4 linked regions of the Arabidopsis thaliana genome follow. The protein of the gene in region 4 interacts with the protein of the main gene of each other region in a biochemical or structural test. Each region holds a gene or a part of one and is shown on either strand. Other genes may lie near its edges. The genes, in order: HEN1, SE, DRB4 and HYL1.

Region 1 (7,563 bases), on a different chromosome or scaffold from region 4:
GTCCAAAACAATGATATAGCTCTGTTCGGATCTTTATCTATCAACTGTTCTTCCACATAAACAATATCCATTTGTTAGAAAACCTCAATCATAGACAGGTTCAAGAAGATCACTCAAAATTTGAAAAGCTTTTAAGAGATTTTATCACATGAGGAAGAATCTAGAATTCCTAAATTAGGTCAAAAGAAAAATTCCCCTGTCTTGTTTTCGCGGGAAAATTGATTATACCTGCGCGTGTTTGGCTCTGACGTAAGGAGAATCACCAGAAGGAACTTTATGAACAATGTGAAACGGATCACGTCTCTCCGACGACGAAGAACAAGAATACGGTGGTCTCCTCCTCTCCGTCATCGGCATCGCCGCCACATGATCACTTGTTCTCGCCGGCGGCGGAGTATAGTAAACTCCAGGTGGAGCACGACGCTCTACGCAGGGACACATTTTCTTTTTCGATTCTCTCTGTCAATTTACTCAGATAAAGTTCGAGAAAGCTTTTCCCAGAATTCAAATTCTCGTGTTCTTCAGAAATCGCCCTCGTGAAAAAGATCAAGAACGCAAATGCTTTGAAAACGAATCAGTGTCGTTGAAGAAGTGAGAAAGTGATAAAAATCACAAGGACTTGTATTTAAATAAACAAACTTTAACGTAGGGGCAAAAAGGGTAATCTACTGATCTAATCTTTAAACTTCAACGGACCAGTAGACTTGGAGACAAAAGGATCTTGTAAACATAAAGGTTCGATTTTATGGTTAATCTGCAAAAGCTCATGGCAAAAGAACTAAACGAGCTTTGAGTTTTATAGATGAACACGTCATCACATTGCTTGCAATATATATATTCTCTGGTAGATACTACTCTAGTCAAAGATCAGTCTTTTTCTTTTCTACATCTTCTTTCTTCCACTCCCAGATGACTTTATAAGGCTGCATTGAGCTTTCTGCAACATTCTCAACAGATGAAGCTTCCCGTCTAAAAATAGCTATCTGAGAAGCAAATCCGGGTTCTACTTCACCAGACCCACCAACACCGCTAAACTCGACGCTGTAGTTATGGCGTTTGCCGAGCTTTGATGCCCATTGATTGAACTGTTCTCTTGTCCACTCGAATTTGTGGTCATGGTTCCTGAACTTTGGAAGCTGTGGCTCCGAGTTGTTTTCTTCTTGGGTTTCTGGTGTAGACCGCTGGAGAATTGTGTTGAACTCGTAGTTTGGTGTTGAGACAATCAGGAGCTTGGGGTGGAACAAGCTCAGAACTTTTTCCCCAAATTCACAGGCTTGATCTTCTTCCATGTGTTCAATAACCTACAGATTAGGAACAGATTATAGATTTAACGCCGAAACCAGACAGATTGCTTTTGATAAACGTGTACAAAATTTGAAGGATTAGAGAGCAGATGAGAGGTGGACCTCTAAGCAAGTGCCGATGTCAACGTCATGCAGCCTGGAGTCAAACTCAAGGATGGAACCATCATAAAGTGTAGCAGATTTGACGTTGCAAGCTTCCTTGTTTAGTTTTACATGTAGCATCTAAAGTTGAAACACAAGATACACAAAAGCATAAGTAAATCTACCATTTCTTTTCAATTACACAAAATGCAGAGAATCATGAGTGGTGCAAATACATTCTTCATCAAACATTTATCAATTATTTTGATGCATTAGTCTCATCAAGTTATGTCTACGAGCGGGAATAAAAAACAGTGATGTGTGATTTTGCAGACCTTAGCAGCACGGGCAAGACCCTTTGGCGAAATGTCAACACCGATGATGGTTTGAAGTGAAGTTGGATAGTCAAGTAGAGAGTCTAATAAACTTCCAGATCCGCATCCAAAGTCAACCTGTAACAAGAATAGAGGTGCCATCTTATGCTTGTCAAAGATTTACCAATAAGGACAAAAAGAGACTGAAACAAATGAGTTTTAACAAAGTCTTGAATTCATAATCCTAGTAAGCAGGAAGACATTAAGATATATAGAGCTTACCAAAGTAGAAGCGGATGATTCTCTTATATGTTTCAGTGCATATTCAACACGTTGTTTTGAAAGTGGAGGTTTGAAAAAAGCCGCCTCCATTCGTTCTTCTGATGGCCCTTTCACTCCCAACAAAAGTATATTGTAATTTAAACATGGACGTTCTGTGCACAAAAAGCAGAGAAATCCATCACTATCACATTTAAATGTTCATGATATCTCTTAACTTAGTCATAGATATAGGTCTAATTTTTGTTCATCCTCTGTTTACAGCCATGTAAGCTTTGATAATTTTGGCTATGATTTGAAAAAGAAATAAGAGACCGACAGATTCATCTAACTAGCTAGAGCTGACACAGTAAAGTTGAAATGCTAATAATACATTATTCCATAACAGAAAGAATAGAAAAAATAAAATGGACAAGACTTTAAATCAATCCTAAGTTTCACCAGAAGACTTTACGTGAGGTTCTTACATAACTTTGCCTCTTTTTAGTATTAGTGAGAACCAGAGCTTTGTAGTTACTAGTAAGACTAGACCTAAGTTCACTGGTGAAGGCAGTTCAAATGTCTAACATATGATAAAGACCTTTTTTTTTTTTTTCAACCAGAAAATCGTTTTCAGAAATTTATCCTACAACAAATGTAAACATTATAAGTATTACCTGATAGGAGCGAGCGGATTCTCACAGTATCAGAACCAACAGCCAAAATCAAAGCTTCAGCAGCATCAGGGGGTGTCATCCTAAATGAAGCATATTCACCCACAGTCATCTGAGTAACTTCTGATTCAATATGTGGATTCATGGATCCAGTCCCTACCTCAAACTCTATCTCTTCATTGCTTTCAATGAGCTCTACTGAGGATTCACAATTAGCCGAATATTCAGACTCCATCTCTTCATTGCTTTCATTGTCTTCTCTTGGAGATTCACCATCACTCGAATATTCAGGATCCACTGCCAAAGACAAAGAATAGCATATGCTAACCACGGAACCATTTGTTATAGATTGAACACGCTTCTCTGCCGACAGCACATTTGTGTTTTTTGATTCAGAACTGTGTTCCTTTTGTAAAATCGGTGGGGCCGCAAAAACATTAGGACTTGAAGATTTAGTATCCTGGTCGTCATCTGTATCACATGATTGCTCTCCATCCACATCCAGGTCAGCAAAAAACTTACTAAACCATAAGAGGGCCTTTAATGAAGCATTTTGAATGGCATCATTTTCCTTCTCATAGAATTTTCTCGGTGAACATTCTAAAACTAAATCCTGAGACTTTGTAAAAATCTTCACTTCACATCTAAACCCATGCCCTAGTCCTGGTGTATCTTCTTTTTGCCTACTCAAATTCTCATTGGCATCATCAACTCCTGAGACCTTCAACTTCTTGTGAGATCTGAATATGTCGGACAACGATTTCACAGGTGCAGTAGATGAAGAAAGGATGGGTTCTGCTAGTCGGTGCTGGTGGCAGAACAGGCCGAGAATCTCCCTGGGGAGTGGACCTCTCCAATTAGATTTTGTAGTGAATGCAAAAGGCAACTGTGCAGCAATTACAGCTTGTCGGGAAATTTTGTAGATTCCATTGGGTGACATACCGCAACATATTCTGCAGCAGCCACAAAGCCAATGTCATGCATCAGTGCATGATAAGAATAAGATATGCAGTGCTTCATCGGAAGGCAAAGACAAACATCAAATGCATTACTTCAGAGTTAGTAGACGTTACACCAATGCAATATTCCTAAAATCCTTATTCTAGAAGAAGATGTGGAAAGGAAACAAATCAGACATAAAACTGAGCGGTAGGAGAGAAGAGACCTGTAAAATGAATTTACGGTTACATCATCATAGTCAAGATCATCGGACTTCCATCGGTAACCAACAGATGCCAAGATTGCATCCCCGTGAATATCTTGACCACAAATGTAACTTGCTCGTGCATTCCGAGATTTTACAATATGAGATGAGTCTTCATTTGAAGTACCAGAGGCATCTGATGAATTATCCAAGTACTTCTTTGGAATCTCAGAGTACAATCTACACTCAGAGCCACAGGAAGCTTTGCCAAACATCCTGTTGAAAAGAAAAAAATACTTTCATACCAGATTAACACCAAGAAAGCTCCAGTTACTAATAGAAAAAAGACAATATAATCACCTGGATATCATCACTTGGTTGCCATCTTTCAATCCGAGCCTTTCAGCAATACTATCCAAGTAATGCCGGTTTGATGAAATGTAAAGAGTATCTAACTCAACAACTTCCTCATCGATACATGGTATATATACAGCCGCGACTTCTCTGCTATGTAGGGAATCAGATACATGAGTAGCTAGTGCTTCCACGATTTCTGAAGGGTATGCATTTTTCCTTCGGAGTCCATGCGGAGATGCAACAATGTAGTCTGCCAACTTTGCAGCAGCCTTCATAACATAGGAAATGGCCAAGAAAGGATCTGACTCCACAGAAGGATTGATAATTTTACAACGACTGTTAATCTTTGCATCAACTGTAGCAATGACAGAAACGGGAACTGATCCACAACGTTCACCATCTCTTCGCAATGCCGCTCTAAGGTGAGCTCCCAGAGGATGCTCAGCTGAAAGAAACTGCAATCGCAACAAACATTAATGCCAGTACCACTTCCTATTTAGACATCCAGATACCTTTTGGTCCAGCGATATAACTGGTAATATGTTTAACGAGGATGTCGTTACAGCTACAAAATAATAGAAACCAAAATTTTCTTTTCATCAACTAACCTCATCAGAAAATATATACTTAATGCGTCCAACAATTTCATCCCTAGCTTCATCCACAGTAAGATCATCATTCTGAGGGCGAATGCCTAGCTGCAACATGAATAGTCTTGCCTTCGTTAACATAAGAGAGAATAAATTACATAAGATATATATATATATATAATAAACAACAAAGCATACCTTGTCAAGAGCCAATTCAGCAGCAGATTGTTCAGAATCCTTCTTCTTCTTGAAGACATTTGACACAACAGAAAATTCAGGTAGCTGCAAGTGGCAACGATAGAGACATGGACCTTTTTGAGGAATTGCTAATCCTAGACAACCACTCTGAGAAGAGTCATGAACTTCCTCAACTGTATAGCTTGCTTTAGCACCAAACTTCTGATGTATAATCGCCTTTGGAGTAGGAGTATGCTTCCCACCACCGGCCATCACAAACACAATGTAGCTTCTTTAACACACTGAGACAAACAAAAGGGTACACATAAATATTGTCAACGATCAGGAAAGATTGGAACTTTTATGCAAAATGTGCATACCCCTGAAATTAGGGTATCTAAGAGAAGAAGAAGAATGTCTTAAACTTGACAATTCAAATCAGAGCCATAGAAAACATTAATAAATAAACAAAAAGTTCAAAATCGAACCAACATCTATTTGAGTTCCAACATTCTCAATGTTCTAATTCTAAGAAAGAAATTGAGTCAAAGCAAAAAAATTTCGTTCCAAGGAAGTACAGATAGATAGAGGGTTTGGGTATAAACAACAAAAAAGGGTTTTGAGTGTAACATTAGGACAAACGAATTGTCATGAACAGAGAAGATGGGTCAATGAAATTGAATTTCAGAAAGAGCCCAGAAGTTCAAAAAATAAATACACAAACATAAAGCAAGAATAATCGACAACGAACCTAAAGAGTTCAGCGGACTTTCATGTAAGAAGAACTCAGGAGAGAGCAACAGAGAAAAAGAGAGTGGGAGAGAGAGAATGGGGTTTTAGAGGGAGGAAGGAGGGTGTTTTGGTCATTACATGTTGTAGAATCGTTTCTTTTTCCAACTTTTTATTTTATTCCCCTATCCACCATTCTCTTTTTCTAGAAGAAAATAAATACCATTTACGTGTGAAGTTATTATAGGTTTAAGGCTCTGATTGGTAAGGCGTTTTTTAATGTAATTATGTAAAAAAATTCTCATATTAAGAAAATTTGCATAATTGTATAAGAAAACGTAAAAACGCACAATTTGTATTTTTGTTTAAATTTACAAGTAAAAATTCATTATGCAAAAAATGGGTATATAGTTTTTATTCGCATAAGAAATTGTTATTATTTTACGCATCTTAAATACTAACAATTTTAAACAATAAAAAACTATAATTATTTACACAAAAATTATGTTATTAATAATCTACATATACATTTTTGGGGAAGATTTGTGTCGAAAAATCATTTTTCAATTTCGATATTGTATGTTTAGTCCCTACAAAATCAATCAGACAAGATTGTCTTCTTTATGACAATGACCAAATTTTTGATCAATTATTCACGTTTTGCACTAATTACTTACCTAAACAAAAATATTATTTTGCACTACCCTCATAAATTGCACACATTAATCCCTTGAATCTCTACTAATTCAATATTACACGAAATAATATTCCCTAAAAATCCGAACAACCAAATAACTAACCATATCTTTACTTACTTCATTTCAAAATCTCTAATCAGCATTTTCACAACTCTTTAATAGATTTTAAGAATCTTATATTTTTATTATCAAATATTACTTAAAATTTATTAAAAACAGTTTTATTAGTATAAATATATATTGTTGATATAATATTTTATTTGTCGTTCTGTAAAATGTATCCAATCAACATATATTTTTAAGTAATTTGATTCTACGGTTTTTCATTCTACATATTTTATTATGCAACTTATACCGTTATGCTATTATGCAATGTTACGAATCATAACCTTAATGTTTGGTATTCTCACATTTCTTGTGCTTTGTAGCCAAAATTTGAAGAAAACCATGTCATGTAATGAATGCATAACACTAAAATATGAGTCATATCATATGACCAAAAGTAAAAGTGTGATTAAGGAAGAAACATGGAGATTTTAAACAGAACTAGATTTTAACCCGCGGTATACCGCGGGATGATTTATTTTTTTAAAGTAATATCTATTAAAACTTGCAAATTTTATTTTTATAAAATATTTATATTTTACAGTTTATAATTGTTATTAAGTAACGCTATACCACGAATCCATGAGACAATTGTTAAAAAACTGAAGTTTAACCCCTTGTAAAACAGCATATTAATAATATTTTAAAATTTTATAAATATTGATTCAAATACATCCACCATATAACCCAATTCCAAAATAAAACCCGTTCTGTAATTCCTTTACCCGTCCCGTAATATTTTTTTAAAGTAATAATTTTTAAAATTTAAGAATTATTTATTATATATAAAAGTTTTGCAAATTGTATCATTCTCTAACACATTTATATTTTATAGTTTAATTTTATATATAGTAACATTATACATACCACATAACATTTTTGGTTTTATATAATCTTTTCTAAATTAGGATGATTTGATATGTTTAATATTAGTGGTCTTAAAAAATAATAAATTAAAGATTTAACCCGTATTCAAACAGTGGATTAATTATATTTTATTTTTTTATTAATGTTGATTCAAAAACCCGTCTCTCCAAATCCGTCTTGCCAAAAAGCCATTTATTTTATTAATATTAATTTTATTTATGATATGACTCTGAATTATAATCTGAATATTTTAGCTAATAACATA
Region 2 (6,359 bases), on a different chromosome or scaffold from region 4:
AGAGAGAATTAAGTAATAGCGAGTCATCTGTTCCACTAAGTTATCTAATGCAAAGGTGTGAGTGAGAGTATCATTGTATTCATGTTGAATATGAGAGAAGAACAGTGCCCTTTATTACCAAATTGCATCATGATATATAAAACAAATGAAAATTACGCATTGCAGGATATTTGCTATTTAGCGAGACATGATCATTCTCTCAAATCTCAAACTCAAATCTCATGCCTCCGTATATAGAAAAAAACAAAGAAATCCCAAGCAAACACAACGAAGATACATAAATTAAATCCAAGGCAACAAATACAAATCAAGCTTATGTTGCTCCCAACACAACACAAATCAATCATACATACCAAATAAAAAAAACCCTCAAAGCAACTATCTATCAACAATTAAAGAACAAATTTCCACTTTGAAATCCTAACACAATCTAACCTATTCTCTTAACTTAGTAACCTGTTCCGCCGTTTAAAGTTCCTCAAGCAAAATCCTTATGGAAAGAGTAAAACTTTCACAGAACCATCGGATAGATGACAAACAATCAGAATCACATAAGAAGGCAACTTTTTCGTAATCGGAATCCCAAAATAGGGCGAGAGAGAATATAAGGAGAGCATAACCAAAGTCATACCGCAGACAAAACACAAAACTGATTGAACAAATTAAGAAGTTTTCTTAGAGTAATCGAAAATCAAAACCTGAAAAGTGCACGAATTTGACAAAAAAGAGAGATTTTTATAGAAAGGTAAAGAAACCCAAATGAAATTGGACCATTAGAGTAGAAGAAAACCTAGAAAAGGTGAGATTTTTCACACAAGTAGAAGAAACAACAGTAAGATGGAGAAACGGTGATACCTAAAGAGATGTCCTTTGAGAGCTTTGGAGTTACGCGAGAGGATCAAACCCAAAAGAAAACAAAACGTCTTCTTCTACAGGAGACGAAGAAGAAGGAGAGAGGTGGTCTGTGTCGTGTGTGAGTCAGCAGCGAATCAGATGGGTAGAGAGAAGAGAGAGAGAGAGAAGAGGAATCTTATGCGAGAGGAGAAAAAGGAGATTGTGTGTGTATGTGTGTGACTACCAACATGCAATAAAGCATTTGCTTGCTTGTAAAGACGATTTTGACGGATGACTCCAAAAACGGTAACTTTCTCTTGCCGTTGTTATTTCTACTCCGGTTACTTTTCTTACACCTTTTTTTTGTTTGTCTTTTTATTTTTTTAAGGATTCATTAGTTTATGATAAACATCCTTAATCTATGGTCTTAGTCAATTGCTTTACAAAACAATTTTGTTACATGTCAACTCACATTTTAGTATTTTACTAATAATCAAATCCATAGACAGATTATGAAAAAATAATCCATAGTGATCCCATAAAAAATAGAAACTAATCTTATCAAATTGACAGAGATACTAAGACTTATTATTGGCTTAATTTACAGAATTGTTTGAAGAATTTTTCTGGAAATGATGGGAAAGAATCTGACTGAAATATTAAAATAGTTTTGCTTCGATGAAATGGAGGAATAGTCAAAGGTGTGGACAAATAATTAACATAGAAATCCAAATACTGTATTTTCATAAAGACGAAGATGGGCCTCTGAGAGTAAGGCCTATTTATGAAGACGAAGATGGGTCTCTGAGAGTAAGGCCCTATTGGAAATAAAGCTCACTGTAACAGTAACAGCAGCAAAACCCGTAAAGGTAGAGGGAGAGACACAGAGGCTTCGAGTGAAATCGTACATTCTCCGATTTAGGGTTCCGAACGAAATGGCCGATGTTAATCTTCCTCCGTCTGATTCCGTCGATAACCGTCTCCCTGAGAAATCAACCTCTTCCTCACCACCTCCTCCACCGCCTTCTTCTTCTCTGCCGCAGCAGGAACAGGAACAAGACCAGCAGCAGCTTCCGCTACGCCGTGAGAGAGATTCACGAGAGCGTCGTGACGAGAGAGACATCGAACGTCCTCCGCCTAATCGCCGTGAACGTGACCGTTCGCCTCTCCCACCGCCTCGTAGGGATTACAAGAGACGTCCTAGCTTGAGTCCTCCGCCACCGTATAGAGATAGGCGACACTCTCCTCCTCAGCGTCGCTCGCCTCCTCAAAAGCGTTATCGGAGGGATGATAATGGCTATGATGGTCGCCGTGGTAGTCCTCGTGGTGGCTATGGACCACCCGATAGAAGGTAATCTTCATTTCTTATGCTTACACTTCAATTGGAATTACATCAGAGTTAATTTGTTACCGATTGAATTATAATTCAAAGTCATATGGGAACTGTGTTTGCATTGTTGCTTAGCTGATAACTGTTGATTATCCTCTTGTATCGATGGTTGTTATATTCCATCGTTTTCGAGATTTCCTAATCTGTACTCAATTTTTACTTTGCATGTTAGATTTGGGTATGACCATGGTGGAGGATATGACCGTGAAATGGGTGGGAGGCCTGGTTATGGTGATGAAAGGCCTCATGGTCGCTTTATGGGTCGCTATCAGGGTGAGACATCTCTGTCTAAGATGTTTTTACAGTTGAGAGAATCAGTATTACCACTTTTTCGTATGATTTCTGTCTTGTGAGACATGTTTAAGATACCTATCATTGGGCGTTCTTATTATTTGTGGACTTCTGTTCATTTGACTAGCTTCGTATATTTCTCTCTGTATGCTGTGGATTGGAAACAAGCGATTTACATTAGAAGATAAGATGTCAATATCTACCTTTTATTGTGTGTTACTTATGGCAGACTGGGAGGGAGGACGTGGAGGTTATGGTGATGCTTCCAACAGTGGAAATCCTCAAAGGTTAAGGTTCCTTCTTCTTTTGTTTTTTAAAATTTTCTTTGTATTTCATGGGTTTGTTGTCTTTTTCCTATGGCGTGTTTATTCTTGGTAGCGTATTTTTAATCAAGTTAGTGTAAACTAAGAGTTGCGAACTGTCTAATGGTGCTCAATGAATGGAGGATACATCCCTTGTAGAATGTTCTTTCTTCGATGAGACATATATGTTTTTTTCCTTATAGCTCCGGAAAGTTAGAGTGAATGTTTGAGAGACACCATTATAGTGGCACACAACTGATGCTGTCTGTATCCTCCCTTGCTGTTGCATTTAACGATACTACCTTTGTAATTCCTTTACCCAGGGATGGATTGATGTCATACAAACAATTTATCCAGGAGTTGGAAGATGATATATTGCCATCTGAAGCTGAACGCAGGTATGATCATTTCTGCTACTTAGTCTTGTTACTTAAGCAATTTAATAATAAAGCTGCGGGTGTAATGCTTTTTTCCTGATGCAGATATCAAGAATACAAGTCAGAGTATATCACAACACAAAAACGTGCCTTTTTTAACACCCACAAAGAGGAAGACTGGTGATTTCACTATCTTTTTTCATCTTTTATATTCTTCTGGGATATTCTGCAAGCTAGCCTAATAACATGTGTATCTATGTTGCGCATCTACCAGGTTGAAAAATAAGTATCATCCAACAAACTTACTATCTGTCATAGAAAGGTGAGTTCAAGAGTCATTTGAAGCAATTTGATTCGGTGTTAGTGCCTGAATAGTGTAATATTAATACTATACATCCTTGATTTTATTATTTTAATTTTCTTTTCATTAAAGAAACTGTTCAACTATAGATATTCCTTTGAAATTTTTCAGGAGGAATGACCTTGCACAGAAGGTGGCAAAGGATTTCTTACTTGATTTACAAAGCGGGACACTAGATTTGTAAGATCATTTCTTTGGCCTTTATTCCACATGTGTGACTGATCACAATTCTGTCATCTCTAACGCTCTCAGTTTCCCTTCTGTTCCAGAGGCCCTGCAGTGACAGCATTGAATAAATCCGGCCGGACCAGTGAGCCTAATTCTGAGGATGAAGCCGCTGGTGTTGGTAAAAGAAAAAGGCATGGTATGGGTGGAGCTAAAGAGAATGAACTTCTTTCAGCCGCACCGAAAGCACCCAGTTTCACCTCTGATCCAAAGAGAATCCTGACTGACGTTGAACAAACACAAGCCCTTGTGCGTAAGCTAGACTCTGAGAAAAAAATTGAGGAAAATGTTTTACAAGGTTCAGAAACTGAAAAATCAGGTAGAGAAAAGTTACACAGTGGTTCTACTGGTCCAGTTGTAATCATAAGGGGGTTGACATCTGTGAAAGGCCTTGAGGGTGTTGAATTACTTGACACGCTTGTTACATATCTATGGCGTGTTCATGGTCTGGACTATTACGGAAAGGTTGAAACAAATGAAGCTAAGGGTTTGCGGCATGTGAGAGCTGAAGGAAAAGTTTCTGATGCAAAAGGAGATGAGAATGAAAGTAAATTCGACTCTCATTGGCAAGAGAGGTTGAAAGGTCAAGATCCCTTGGAAGTGATGGCTGCCAAAGAGAAGATAGATGCTGCCGCTACTGAAGCTTTAGATCCACATGTCCGAAAGATTAGAGATGAGAAGTATGGTTGGAAATATGGTTGTGGAGCCAAGGGCTGCACGAAGCTGTTTCATGCTGCTGAATTTGTGTACAAGCATCTCAAGCTGAAACACACTGAGCTTGTCACAGAGCTGACTACCAAAGTTCGGGAAGAACTGTATTTTCAGAACTATATGAAGTATGTAGGCTTTTTCTCTTGGATTCCTCTACTGTCGTTTCTGACAGGTTCGTAATGAAATTTTTTTGTGCTATTTGCAGTGATCCTAATGCTCCAGGAGGACAACCAGCCACGCAGCAATCTGGCCCGGTACATGATCTTCTTTTGAGATTTAATGGAGTGTTGACTAGTCTGTACTTTTGGGTTATCACTTGTTTAGCTTGGTTTGAGTTTTATTTACGTGGGTTAATTATACTTTCAACAGAGAGATAGACCTATAAGACGTAAACCCAGCATGGAGAACAGACTGAGGGATGATAGAGGTGGACGCAGAGAGCGTGATGGACGTGCTAATGGAAATGACAGAAATGATCGGTCAGAAGATCAACAGAGAGGGGATAATGATGGTGGAAATCCTGGGGAAGTTGGGTATGATGCATTTGGTGGACAAGGTGGTGTTCATGTTCCTCCCTTCTTATCGGATATAAACCCACCACCAATGCTGATGCCTGTTCCTGGTGCTGGGTAGGTTTAATAAAGATTACTCACTCCCTTCATGATCTTGTTTTCAGAATAAATTAGTTACTGTGTTGAATCAATGATCTTAATGTGTCTGAATGATGATGTGGTCAGGCCACTGGGACCATTTGTACCAGCACCACCTGAAGTTGCTATGCAGATGTTCAGGGACCCAAGTGGACCCAACCCTCCTTTTGAAGGTAGCGGGAGAGGTGGACCTGCCCCTTTTCTGTTGTCTCCGGCCTTTAGACAAGATCCTAGACGGCTGCGCAGGTAACGTAGTTCACTCTGTGCTATGAGTCCATTACCCTATGATCAAGAGTGCAGTGTCTCTAAGGTACTAATGTATGAGAAATTTGGTGCAGCTACCAAGACCTAGATGCTCCAGAGGAAGAAGTGACCGTTATTGATTACAGGAGCTTGTAGACAAGACAGGGCTAGAGAGATCCCGAGTTTACTGGTTCGGGTTGGGTTAAAGGGCATCAGTATTAGAAGGCAAAGCTAGCAGATTGTGGCATTTTCTTACCCTTTTGATGTATTATGTCTTGTTCCTCCCAATTTTCACTCACTAAAGCGTAAAATACGCACTCCATACATTTCCTTATTGTTTTTCAAAATTTTTCATGTGCTTTCTTACTAATTCTGTTCGACGATGATTACATAAATAGCATGAGAATTTCTTGTATTGAATAATGCGTTTTATCCACATTGTTTGTTATCAATACTTAAGTCTCCATGGCAGTCTTAAATCTCCATGGCCATTAAATATAATCTGCAGTCAAACGAATGACTATCCACAAGAATCCAGGTTTTTAGGGTTCAATGTAAATAAGAAGGATATATACACTTCAAAGCCTGGCTCAATGCCTACCAGATTCTACACACTTGCGTAGATGACGTGACACTTACACATGTTACAATTACACATAAGGCATTGTATCGTAAATCTAACAACACTAATCACAGACGAGCTCTAATGAGGTTAACAACCATTTTCCAAAGTTTTCTTTTCCAGAGGTTGTTTCTCTCTCTCAACATCATTTGCGTTGCTTCTTTGCTTGAGATTCTGTTTGTAGCTCTCCCTGCAAATGCAAGATACCGTTTAGATACTCTATAAGACAATACATAGACCAAGTAATAGTTCAGGAACAATTATAGGTCGATATGAACCTAATTGATTGCTGTTACTATTACTAATTCAACTATCATTGGCCTTGTAATTATTTAATAACTACTACTTGGAAA
Region 3 (4,364 bases), on a different chromosome or scaffold from region 4:
TCGTTCCAGGCCCGACTCAATATTATTTTGGGTTCTGTGCTAAAAAAAAAAATATCCCCTTTAAACCTTTAAATCCAAAAAATTTTAGTTTACGTGGCAGTGTTTACTGTCTCTTGTAAACGTAATACACTTGTAGTTCTATTCAACCATTGTAATTTTATCTAGAAAAATAAAAATTCCTATAAATTAGGACCCTAAAATTTAAGAGAGAAAATAAGGACTCTGTGCCTTGGCACTGCTGGCACACCCTGCTTCGTTCACAACCAGGATCTGTTCGGAAAATCAGCACTTGTGGGTACCAATATGGACTTAGCTATGTACAACCTGAATGTCTTCCGAAAATCATCAGCACATCTCCGCACCGGTCTCGAATATCTAATATCGTGATGGAATTGCTGTTCCCAAATATTTTGCTTACCTCTACTCTAGTGTCTCTAATTATATTCGGTTATCGTTACAAATATTCTACTTGAAGCGGTTACTTATCTAGCTGGTTTTGCTTATGTCTACATCTTACTATTTAATATTTATTCTGTTAAGCTTTTCCATAATCTATTAACATTTAATCTCGCCTTGTTTCTAATAAACACAATGCTTTAAAACAAAAATTAGTCATTACACAGTATACATACTACATAGCATATTGCTTAAGAAAACCAGAGACGAGAAGCATTCTATTTCTACAAACAGATGAGATATAGCTTACCTTAACATTCTATCTCTACACTTATTATGCATCAAAGATGATGATGTCGTTATGGCTTCACAAGACGATAGGCTATAAATTTATCATCTCTAAAGAGCATCTCCGCGTCTTGAGGAAGAGTTATCTCGGGGTTCCATGGGCGACAAACTACATGTTGGCCAGTTGGTATACTCAGGTGGCCAGTTCCCATTATGAGCTTCTTTTTCTCACTCTCATCTACTACACATGATGATGTTTCACTACCATCGTTTGTGGGATTCTGAGGCATCCACGAAGAACAAGCAGCAATGTTCCTCTTGATACCATTGGCAGCTGGTGCATTAAGAGTAATAACGTTTGTAGGATTGTGAGGTATAGGCAAAGAAGAAGAAGCAATGTTCATCTTCATACCATCAGTAGTTAGTGCACTAAGAGTACCATCGTTTGTAGGATTCTCAGGCTCATTCAAAGCAACGTTAATCTCCTTAGCATTACTGGCTGGTGCATCATGAAGATCTGGAAATTCTGCACAGAATCAAGACTGTAGAGCATGAGTTTTGAATGAATTAACCATCTTGACCATTTAGCATTAAACTGAAATTGGAATCCATTTCATGCAGTTAAAGTAAGGTTGGCTTTCTTATTTCATAGCTGTTTCCTACCTATCTCAGGAAAATACGTCCCTCTGATTGGACCACAAGTTATAACAAAGAAAGAGAGTTTTTCCTTTAACAAACAAACCAACGGATTATTCATGTAGTGTAGTATTCAAAGAAAACTAACCATCTTCATTCACTTTAATCCCCTTTGATGGGGTATCAGGGGTCATCACCACCTTGGAAGAAGGTTGAGAATGGATCTCTTGTGGACTGCTCTTCACATTTGAATTTACATCTTCTTGTCTCTCACTAGGCAAAGTAGGCGATCCGGTCTGGTTCGAGTTCCCATTTTTGATACTCATGAATGCAACTTTAGCAGCGCTCATTTCAGCCAACTTTTTGGTTTTCGCCTCTTCTCCACTGAAAACTTTACCAGCAAACTCAACAGTTGAAGTAAAAGTAGGCGCATGCGATGGACCAGATGTAGCAGTTGCATAAAATGGTAACAGAGAACTCTCTTTCTGTGCAATTTCTTGTAACAGGTTCTTGTAGGCAACATCAATTCCCTGAAACAACAAAAATTTGAAAATCAAAATTTAAACAAATGTTGAAAAAGCACATAACTTGTAGTCCAAAAAGAGTGTGAGGAACTAGCCTCTGGACTTTGTGGCGTCAAAGAAGCAACTGCAATTTTTGCAGCGGCATGTTCAGCCGATTTTAGTGTCGGAAAGAATTCAGAGCTCTGGAAAGTCTGTCCACAGAATGTAACATTACATCTAAATCTAGGAGCATGAGGAGGCCCTTCTCTCTCATTCGCATACACTGGTAGCTCCAGATTATGTTGCAGGGCATACGCTTGCAGTTGACCTTTGTATACATGATCCATCTCTATCTAAACTGGCAGGAATTAACCAAACATAAAGAGATCAACGTGTATCAGAATTTCTCAAACATAAATGGCAAACGAAGAGACGAATTTCAGATTTCAGAATTGGTCAACCAAACATAAAGAGATCAACATGACAACATGTATCAGAATTTCTCAAACATAAATGGCAAACGAAGAGACGAATTTCAGAATTGGTCAGACTCAATGATCTAGGGTTTCGTACAGATCGATAACATCAAAACAGCGAAAGGAATCTACGATTATAAACACAAAATCGTACCTCTTTGAAATGGTGAAGACACTTCGAGGGAGGAAGTGAACAATCAGACAAAGCATTCGCTGATTGAAACTCATCGAGAAACCATAATAAGTATACACATGTAAATTGTCTCAAGGATACGAAAGATTCGGGTTAACCCAGCTTGAACGGGTATGATCCGAAATAATCCATTAATGGGCCAAAATTGGGCTTATTCATGAAAGTTGTAAAGGCCCAATGAAACTCGAAGTTGATCAGAAGGTTGTCGGCGACCAAATTTCTAAATCCAATTTTGGGAGGGAGACGACGGCGGAGGTTGAAAGGGGAAAGAGCAGAAATGGTGACCGGAGAAGCGTTGATCGCGTACAGAGCACTGCTCAGGGCAACAAAGAAATCATTCGCCGGAGATACCGAGATGCTAAAAGCTTCGGCGTCCGAGATCCGTAAGAAATTCGAAGAGAATCGCCTCGTGGCTTCTAACTCCGACATCACTCGCCTTCTAGAAGAGGCGCGTGAAGCGACGCAGTTCATTTCCACCATGATCGTCCAGGCTAAACTCAACGAACGCGGCGGATATGGTTCGTTCTGACTCTTTTTATCTTGCGCACCATCTGTTTGTTGAAATGCGTGAGTGAAAGCTCATATCTTTGGAAATTTGATTTTTCTGTGTCGTAGAGATGAAAGCAAGTCAGGAACACGCGGGAGCTACTTTGGAGCTTCCATCAGAGGAGATGCTTCGGAAAAAATCTGTATGAGTGTAAGTCTGAAATTGGATTACTTCTCCCTTACTCGTTTTGTTTGATCGGGAAAGGTGGATCCTTTTTATGCTTCTCTGTTTGTTTTCTCTTTTCACGGCCAAGTTGAATCAATAAGAAGCTCTTTACATACATTTTTGGATGAGATTCGTCCATTTCAAAACAAGAATTACAGAATTCACTTACATCCATGGCTAATATTGATTATGTTGTATGTTAGACTGTAGACCTCACTTTTCTACTTTTCTTAGAAGCATTGTCTTGTCGTAGAGACCCATCTTTTGTGTCATTCTCAAATCTTAGAAGCCTTGTCTTGTCGTAGAGACCCATCTTTTGTATCATTTTCAAATCCATGTCACTTTTATTGTTAGATTGAAATATAATTATTTCCTACATAAGCTTAGGTTTCGTCATCTATCTAGATTTCCTTGTCCCCGATTGTTTCACAGAGTCTGATGGGAAGTTTGAAATAGAGTTGACGCGAGAAGATTGAAGCCGTGATGGTCACTCTAGTTTTTCAAACCAATAAAATAGAACCTATATTGTTGATACGGGGTCCGAGAAGTATGGTTCATTTTCCAATGAAAACCACTACACAATCTGTCAAGATTTACCCCCATTCATGAGTGTCCACAGCATTTGCTCAGAAGTCCTTTTTTATCATCTCCATTCATGATTTTAAGTTCAGAGTTCTAGCTTTCTCTTATTAGTGTCTCAGTCATCTTCTCGCTGGTGTGCAATCCTTAGATTCTTGTGTTGAAGAGCATTGTTTCATAGGAATCATGTGAATCGTCATAACCACATATACTTTGTTCTCTCAATTCATGTGAGTTTGATTCAATTCTTTAGCTGTATTCATAAATGCTCACGCATTACGTGATTATGTTGTATATAAGAACTCACGCACGTCCTAAAGAAAGTAGCCATGTCGTGAATAAAGAAAAAGGTAACTAAAAAAATGGATTCGAAAAGAGATATGGTCATGGGCCTCATGGCGATGACAAAACTACATAATGTAGCTTTTTCGATGTAAGGTACCAAAACCTCATTCCGTACACAACTAGCTCATCTTCCATTTATAAACAGTTTCATATATACCATATATTCGTAGCCATTGATGAAATAAATATTATCATAGAAGGATTTATACTCACTCTTCTTATCACTTCGTTGCATA
Region 4 (5,094 bases):
ACACTAAGAAGCTCAAATCCTAATTCAATGACACAAAAGCTGAAGAGATAGGAGAGTTCATCAGACCTGTTTGTTGACTTCAACACCGACGGCGCGTTTAGTGACGTTCCAGATACGACCAGTACGACCGTGGTAGAACTTGTGAGGCATACCCTTGTGGATCGCACCATTCACCTTCACATCGACGTAATCGCCGACCTTGAAGGTTCTCAGGTAAGTCGAGAGTGGAATGTAACCCTTCTTCCTGAATGGCCTCGCGAACAGATCCCTCGTTCTCGCCCGAACTCCATGACCCGCTGGCATTTTTCCTCCTCGTGCGACAACTAAAACCCTAGATCGCCGAAGAAATGAAATGAGGAAGGCAGAGTGTATTTATATCTCTGTTTTGAGATTAGGGTTTCGTAAACGGACCTGTTGGGTCAGCAAGTTGGGCTTCTGTTTTTTAGAACCAGCCCACAAATAATCAAGAGTGAGGGTAATGAACCTTCTATTGGACTTTTGTTTTTTAGAACCAGCCCACAAATAATGAAGAGTGAGGGTAATGGACCTTCTGTTGGGTTTGTGTTTTTATAACCGGCCCACAAATAATGAAGTTTGAGAGTAATTTTCATTTATATGTAGATATGAAGCTTCTGTTTTGCAACCCCACATTACTTTATTCGAATGACTCAATCGACCACCAAATTGTACCAATCATATTAGTTTTGATTTTCCGCTCAAATATTACTTCTCTTCAATCTGTGAATTACTACTAGACTAGATAGGAATCACAAAATGGCTACGTAACCATATAGTAACTATGACAAACTCACAAGACTCCATCTTGACACTGTTATGCGTGGCTTGCTTCTGTCTCCACACTCCCAAATGCTGCCTCCTTTAACCCGCTCATGCATGAAGAAGATTCCAGATTTGGCGTTGTCTCAATTTTCTCTGTCTCCACACTCCCAAATGCTGCCTCCTTTAACCCGTTCATGCATGAAGGAGGTTCCAGATTTGGCGTTGTCTCAATTTTCTCTGTCTCCACACTCCCAAATGCTGCCTCCTTTAACCCGTTCATGCATGAAGAAGGTTCCAGATTTGGCGTTGTCTCAATTTTCTCTGTCTCCACACTCCCAAATGCTGCCTCCTTTAACCCGTTCATGCATGAAGGAGGTTCCAGATTTGGCGTTGTCTCAATTTTCTCTGTCTCCACACTCCCAAATGCTGCCTCCTTTAACCCGTTCATGCATGAAGGAGGTTCCAGATTTGGCGTTGTCTCAATTTTCTCTGTCTCCACACTCCCAAATGCTGCCTCCTTTAACCCGTTCATGCATGAAGAAGGTTCCAGATTTGGCGTTGTCTCAATTTTCTCTGACTGATCGTTTTGACAATGATCAGTAGGTTGAGGAGGGATGATAATATCTTCAGGATTTTTAGCTACTGTGCGTTTTCCTTTCTGAGCTTTCTTCTTGAACTGAGCCTTCCTGGCTTTAAGAGTCTTGACGGTTTCTTTAAGCGGGATAGCTGCCTGTATTGTCTTCTTCTCACAAGGAAGTACAGTAAGCTGAGTGTTGTAGTTGGCAAGGTTGTTTTTAGTGTCTGACTGGATCGCTAAAAGAGCAGTTCTCCCAGCGCTAATCTCAGCATCTTTTTTAGTTCTTGTTGCAGCTCCTGTGTACTTTATGCCTCCAATCTCTACAGTACATGTGAATTGTGTAACTCTCCCAAGAGTTTCGACCTTCTGGCACTGATACAATGGAATCGCGTAATTCATCTTTTGAGCGTATTCTTGAAGTAGGTTCTTGCATAATCCCGTTTCGTGCTGCATTAATAAGCCATTCAAAGTTAGACAAGAGCAATAACTTACAGAAACAGCCTAAGAATCTTCCCTCTAGAAGTTGGCAATACACATAAATCCGATAAGACAGAAGACACTTTATTAATGAGTGGATTCTTTAAACTCTTGAATCTCGATCATTGTCCAACCAAGAGCCTAGACAAATACAGAATGCCCCCTAACGTATTCTCACAGCTCCCCTTTAAACCTTCAACTCTGAAACTAACCATGAGCTTCCCTTTAAACCTTCAACGCTCAAACTAAGCATAAGGACTACTGCTGAGATGGCAAAGCTACAATTCGCTGCTAAACCCCTAGGCTAGGTTCAATAGTTTTGCAGTGAACTTAACAATAATCACGAGCGAAATAAGAAAGATGAGGTGCTTACAACAGGTTGTGAAACACATTGGCTTAGCTCACTGGATTTTGCTAATTCCCGGAGAGCAACCTCGGCAGCTGATTGCTCTGCAGCCTTACGATTGAAGAATCCAGGCAAAGAATTATATCTGACACCATCCAGTATCACAGTCGATTGAAATAAAGATTTGTGTGAAGGGCCTTCTTTAACGATCTCATAAACAGGCGTTGGGAGCTTGTACTTCTGAGCATACTCCTGCAACCGACTTTTGAAAACATAGCAATTGGAAACACCTGAGCAGGAAAAAAACTTCAAAATGAGGCAAAAGATAAAACAGAAACAGTGATGATGCTATCCACTACAGCATAAATTGCAAATAAACTCAAAACGACAACAGGGAACAGCAGTGAACGAGTTCTGAATAAAGCTGACGACTTTCACAAAGAAACTATACTTATCCAAAAGGGGAGAGACAGTTTTAAACCAAGCTTCTATGTTCCCTAACAAATTGAGTCAATAAATCATCATCTCAAAAGAGTAAACTTGCCAATTGCCAGAGAGATCTACGCTTAAACCCACAAGGGACAGATACACTTGTAAATTCTAACTAATCAAAACACTGCAATCCAATTTCCAAGAAGAAAGAAGTGAGTAAAGAACAGAAGAAAGGGGAAAAAGCATGATCTGGTTTCAAAATTAAAACCCGGAAAAAACAACCCATGAATGTTGAATTAGAGATAATGCAGACATGATGGTGAAGAAGAAGAAGAAGAAGAAGAAGTAATTCACCAGAGGAAACATCAGTGGAGGTCATTTTCACGAGCAGAATGTAGCTGAAGAGACGAATAATAGGTTAGTAGGGCACGGCGAAGAGCAAGAAAGAAACGTGCTGCTGCTGCGAAGAAGCAGAGAGAGAGAGATGATTCTTCTTCACCAAAAACCCTCTCCCCTCGACTTCCTCCTCTTTACTGATTTTTATTTTTGTTTTTTTTTCACAAGGGCAAACGAAAGAAGGTGGTTCTTAATTGTTATGTTACAAATGTTAATATTGAATTTAATTTCAAACCTTTATAAATTATATTATATTCCATAAATTTACCTTTTTGGTCAAATTTTCCATAAATATAATTTACTTGTGAATATTATATGAAAGCAAAATGTTTTTATCTTTGAAATATTTAATTTAATTAAAAAACTAATTACATATAGCCTAATTTCGTATTTCATATGTAGTTAACTAATGTATATATCCACAATTGATTAACCTTTTTATGGCTAACTTTATTCACTAGTAATCCCTTTGTTATATTCACACAGTTTTTGTATTCACAAATAATTAATTTGTTCTCCAAGTAAACATCAATAATGATAATAACCGTTTAATAAAAAATAAAAACAATTTGAGCCCATATTTGAGCCCACTTGAGCCTATGTCCCTTAACAGAAAAGAAAAATATTTGAGCCCATATTTGAGCCCACTTGATCCTATATCCCTTTACCAGAAAAGAAAAATATTTGAGCCCATACTTTTCGCTTCTGATAAGCGTAGAATAATAATAGTCGAATTTACCACCTTCCTTTTCGTTCCTTTTTTTTCTTCTCTCTTCCGAAACACCTCTGCCACGCGAGTACTCTCCACGCTCTTCGACAGTCGTGACCATCTTCTTCTCCGATCGTCTTCACCGGTTTTCTTGGGCATTCCCTCGTGCGTAAGTCTCTGTCGTTTCGTTTCGTCTATAACTCCCTCGGGTTTTGGTGAAATTTGATTCCTTTGTCCTGTTCTCTGCAGAATTGTTGCAATAAATACGACGAAGATGGTTGCTAATAATAATACTAGTAGCAATCGCAGGAAGAGAATCATTACTGAAGGCGACATCGCCACTCTTTTGCTGAGGTAAAAATATCTCCTTTTTTTGTTTTCTCTTTCCGAAAACGTTAGTGGATTTGGGTTTAGTCAGTGTGGCCGGGGTTTTTGATTTATTGACGCAGATATGATATGGAGACGATACTGAGAATGCTACAGGAGATATCTTATTGTTCCGAAACCAAGATGGACTGGAATGCGTTGGTGAAGAAGACCACTACCGGAATTACTAATGCTAGAGAGTACCAGTTGCTATGGCGTCATCTTTCTTATCGGCATCCTCTCCTCCCTGTGGAAGATGATGCTCTACCTCTGGTACTTATTCTGTCTCTCCTCTTTCCACTTTTGATGAATTGTAAAAGACTCAAGTTTATGTTGTAGAGTTAGTTAGTTTTCTTCAATAAAAACTCACTACTACTTTGTGTTATCAGTATCATCTAGAAGTGAGTGTGATGAAATACTAGTTTATGTTCTATGTGGCAGTGGATACTAAAACTTCTTGGTAGCATTAGGGATCGATGAGTGTCTCTCGCTGGTGTAGTTTACAGATTTTTTAAACGAAAGTTGCCTGTGCAGGACGACGATAGTGACATGGAGTGCGAATTGGAAGCTTCTCCTGCAGTCAGCCATGAAGCATCAGTGGAGGCTATTGCACATGTCAAAGTAAGAACGGAATCATAGATTTCATTCCCTTGACAGAATTTCAGAATCTGAAGTCCCTAGGCTCTATTCAGGATAACACCTTGCTGTTTTCTTAATGATTAGTGTGTTGGTTACTTGTTCTGCATATCAATCTGTGCTTATCCAGAGTTCCCATTTTATCCAAATATCATTAAGTTTTCGTTTCTCTTGTATTCCCAGGTGATGGCTGCTTCATATGTTCTAAGTGAGTCTGATATACTCGACGATTCAACAGTTGAGGCTCCCTTGACTATAAACATACCTTATGCTTTGCCTGAGGGTTCTCAGGAACCATCAGAGTCTCCTTGGTCGTCAAGAGGGATGAATATCAACTTTCCGGTCTGTCTTCAGAAAGTTACATCTACCGAGGGG

The links.
Region 1: the proteins of HYL1 (region 4) and HEN1 form a complex in vitro, tested with the Arabidopsis thaliana proteins (one study listed by BioGRID).
Region 2: the proteins of HYL1 (region 4) and SE form a complex in vitro, tested with the Arabidopsis thaliana proteins (one study listed by BioGRID).
Region 3: the proteins of HYL1 (region 4) and DRB4 interact in far-western blotting, tested with the Arabidopsis thaliana proteins (one study listed by BioGRID).

Annotation. Positions count from the first base shown.
Region 1 is NC_003075.7:11,185,404-11,192,966, forward strand, and holds HEN1 (double-stranded RNA binding protein-related / DsRBD protein-like protein), read right to left. Parts: upstream 5,721-7,563; 5' UTR 5,651-5,720; intron 5,417-5,650; exon of another isoform or gene 5,202-5,416; 5' UTR 5,173-5,201; coding exon 4,921-5,172; intron 4,831-4,920; coding exon 4,741-4,830; intron 4,588-4,740; coding exon 4,136-4,587; intron 4,052-4,135; coding exon 3,797-4,051; intron 3,585-3,796; coding exon 2,635-3,584; intron 2,134-2,634; coding exon 1,982-2,133; intron 1,838-1,981; coding exon 1,721-1,837; intron 1,527-1,720; coding exon 1,407-1,526; intron 1,302-1,406; coding exon 861-1,301; 3' UTR 533-860; downstream 1-532. Other genes in the region: MS5 (Tetratricopeptide repeat (TPR)-like superfamily protein), read right to left, coding at 1-44, 229-441. UniProt on the Arabidopsis thaliana protein: Methyltransferase that adds a methyl group to the ribose of the last nucleotide of small RNAs (sRNAs). This protects the 3'-end of sRNAs from uridylation activity and subsequent degradation.
Region 2 is NC_003071.7:11,570,818-11,577,176, forward strand, and holds SE (C2H2 zinc-finger protein SERRATE (SE)), read left to right. Parts: upstream 1-1,579; 5' UTR 1,580-1,769; coding exon 1,770-2,185; intron 2,186-2,396; coding exon 2,397-2,497; intron 2,498-2,744; coding exon 2,745-2,802; intron 2,803-3,140; coding exon 3,141-3,215; intron 3,216-3,299; coding exon 3,300-3,374; intron 3,375-3,468; coding exon 3,469-3,516; intron 3,517-3,666; coding exon 3,667-3,735; intron 3,736-3,824; coding exon 3,825-4,616; intron 4,617-4,696; coding exon 4,697-4,745; intron 4,746-4,860; coding exon 4,861-5,120; intron 5,121-5,228; coding exon 5,229-5,387; intron 5,388-5,479; coding exon 5,480-5,540; 3' UTR 5,541-5,841; downstream 5,842-6,359. Other genes in the region: FRS3 (FAR1-related sequence 3), read right to left, coding at 6,152-6,196. UniProt on the Arabidopsis thaliana protein: Acts as a mediator between the cap-binding complex (CBC) and both the pre-mRNA splicing and primary microRNAs (miRNAs) processing machinery.
Region 3 is NC_003074.8:23,224,994-23,229,357, forward strand, and holds DRB4 (double-stranded-RNA-binding protein 4), read right to left. Parts: upstream 2,520-4,364; 5' UTR 2,454-2,519; intron 2,182-2,453; 5' UTR 2,171-2,181; coding exon 1,940-2,170; intron 1,851-1,939; coding exon 1,469-1,850; intron 1,211-1,468; coding exon 756-1,210; 3' UTR 533-755; downstream 1-532. Other genes in the region: AT3G62810 (complex 1 family protein / LVR family protein), read left to right, coding at 2,770-3,010, 3,108-3,187. UniProt on the Arabidopsis thaliana protein: Double-stranded RNA-binding protein involved in RNA-mediated post-transcriptional gene silencing (PTGS). Functions in the trans-acting small interfering RNAs (ta-siRNAs) biogenesis by binding and assisting DICER-LIKE 4 (DCL4). Required for DCL4 activity.
Region 4 is NC_003070.9:3,137,128-3,142,221, forward strand, and holds HYL1 (dsRNA-binding domain-like superfamily protein), read right to left. Parts: upstream 3,227-5,094; 5' UTR 2,992-3,226; coding exon 2,967-2,991; intron 2,471-2,966; coding exon 2,208-2,470; intron 1,805-2,207; coding exon 833-1,804; 3' UTR 522-832; downstream 1-521. Other genes in the region: AT1G09690 (Translation protein SH3-like family protein), read right to left, coding at 67-303; AT1G09710 (Homeodomain-like superfamily protein), read left to right, coding at 3,992-4,071, 4,167-4,356, 4,618-4,704, 4,903-5,094. UniProt on the Arabidopsis thaliana protein: Double-stranded RNA-binding protein involved in RNA-mediated post-transcriptional gene silencing (PTGS).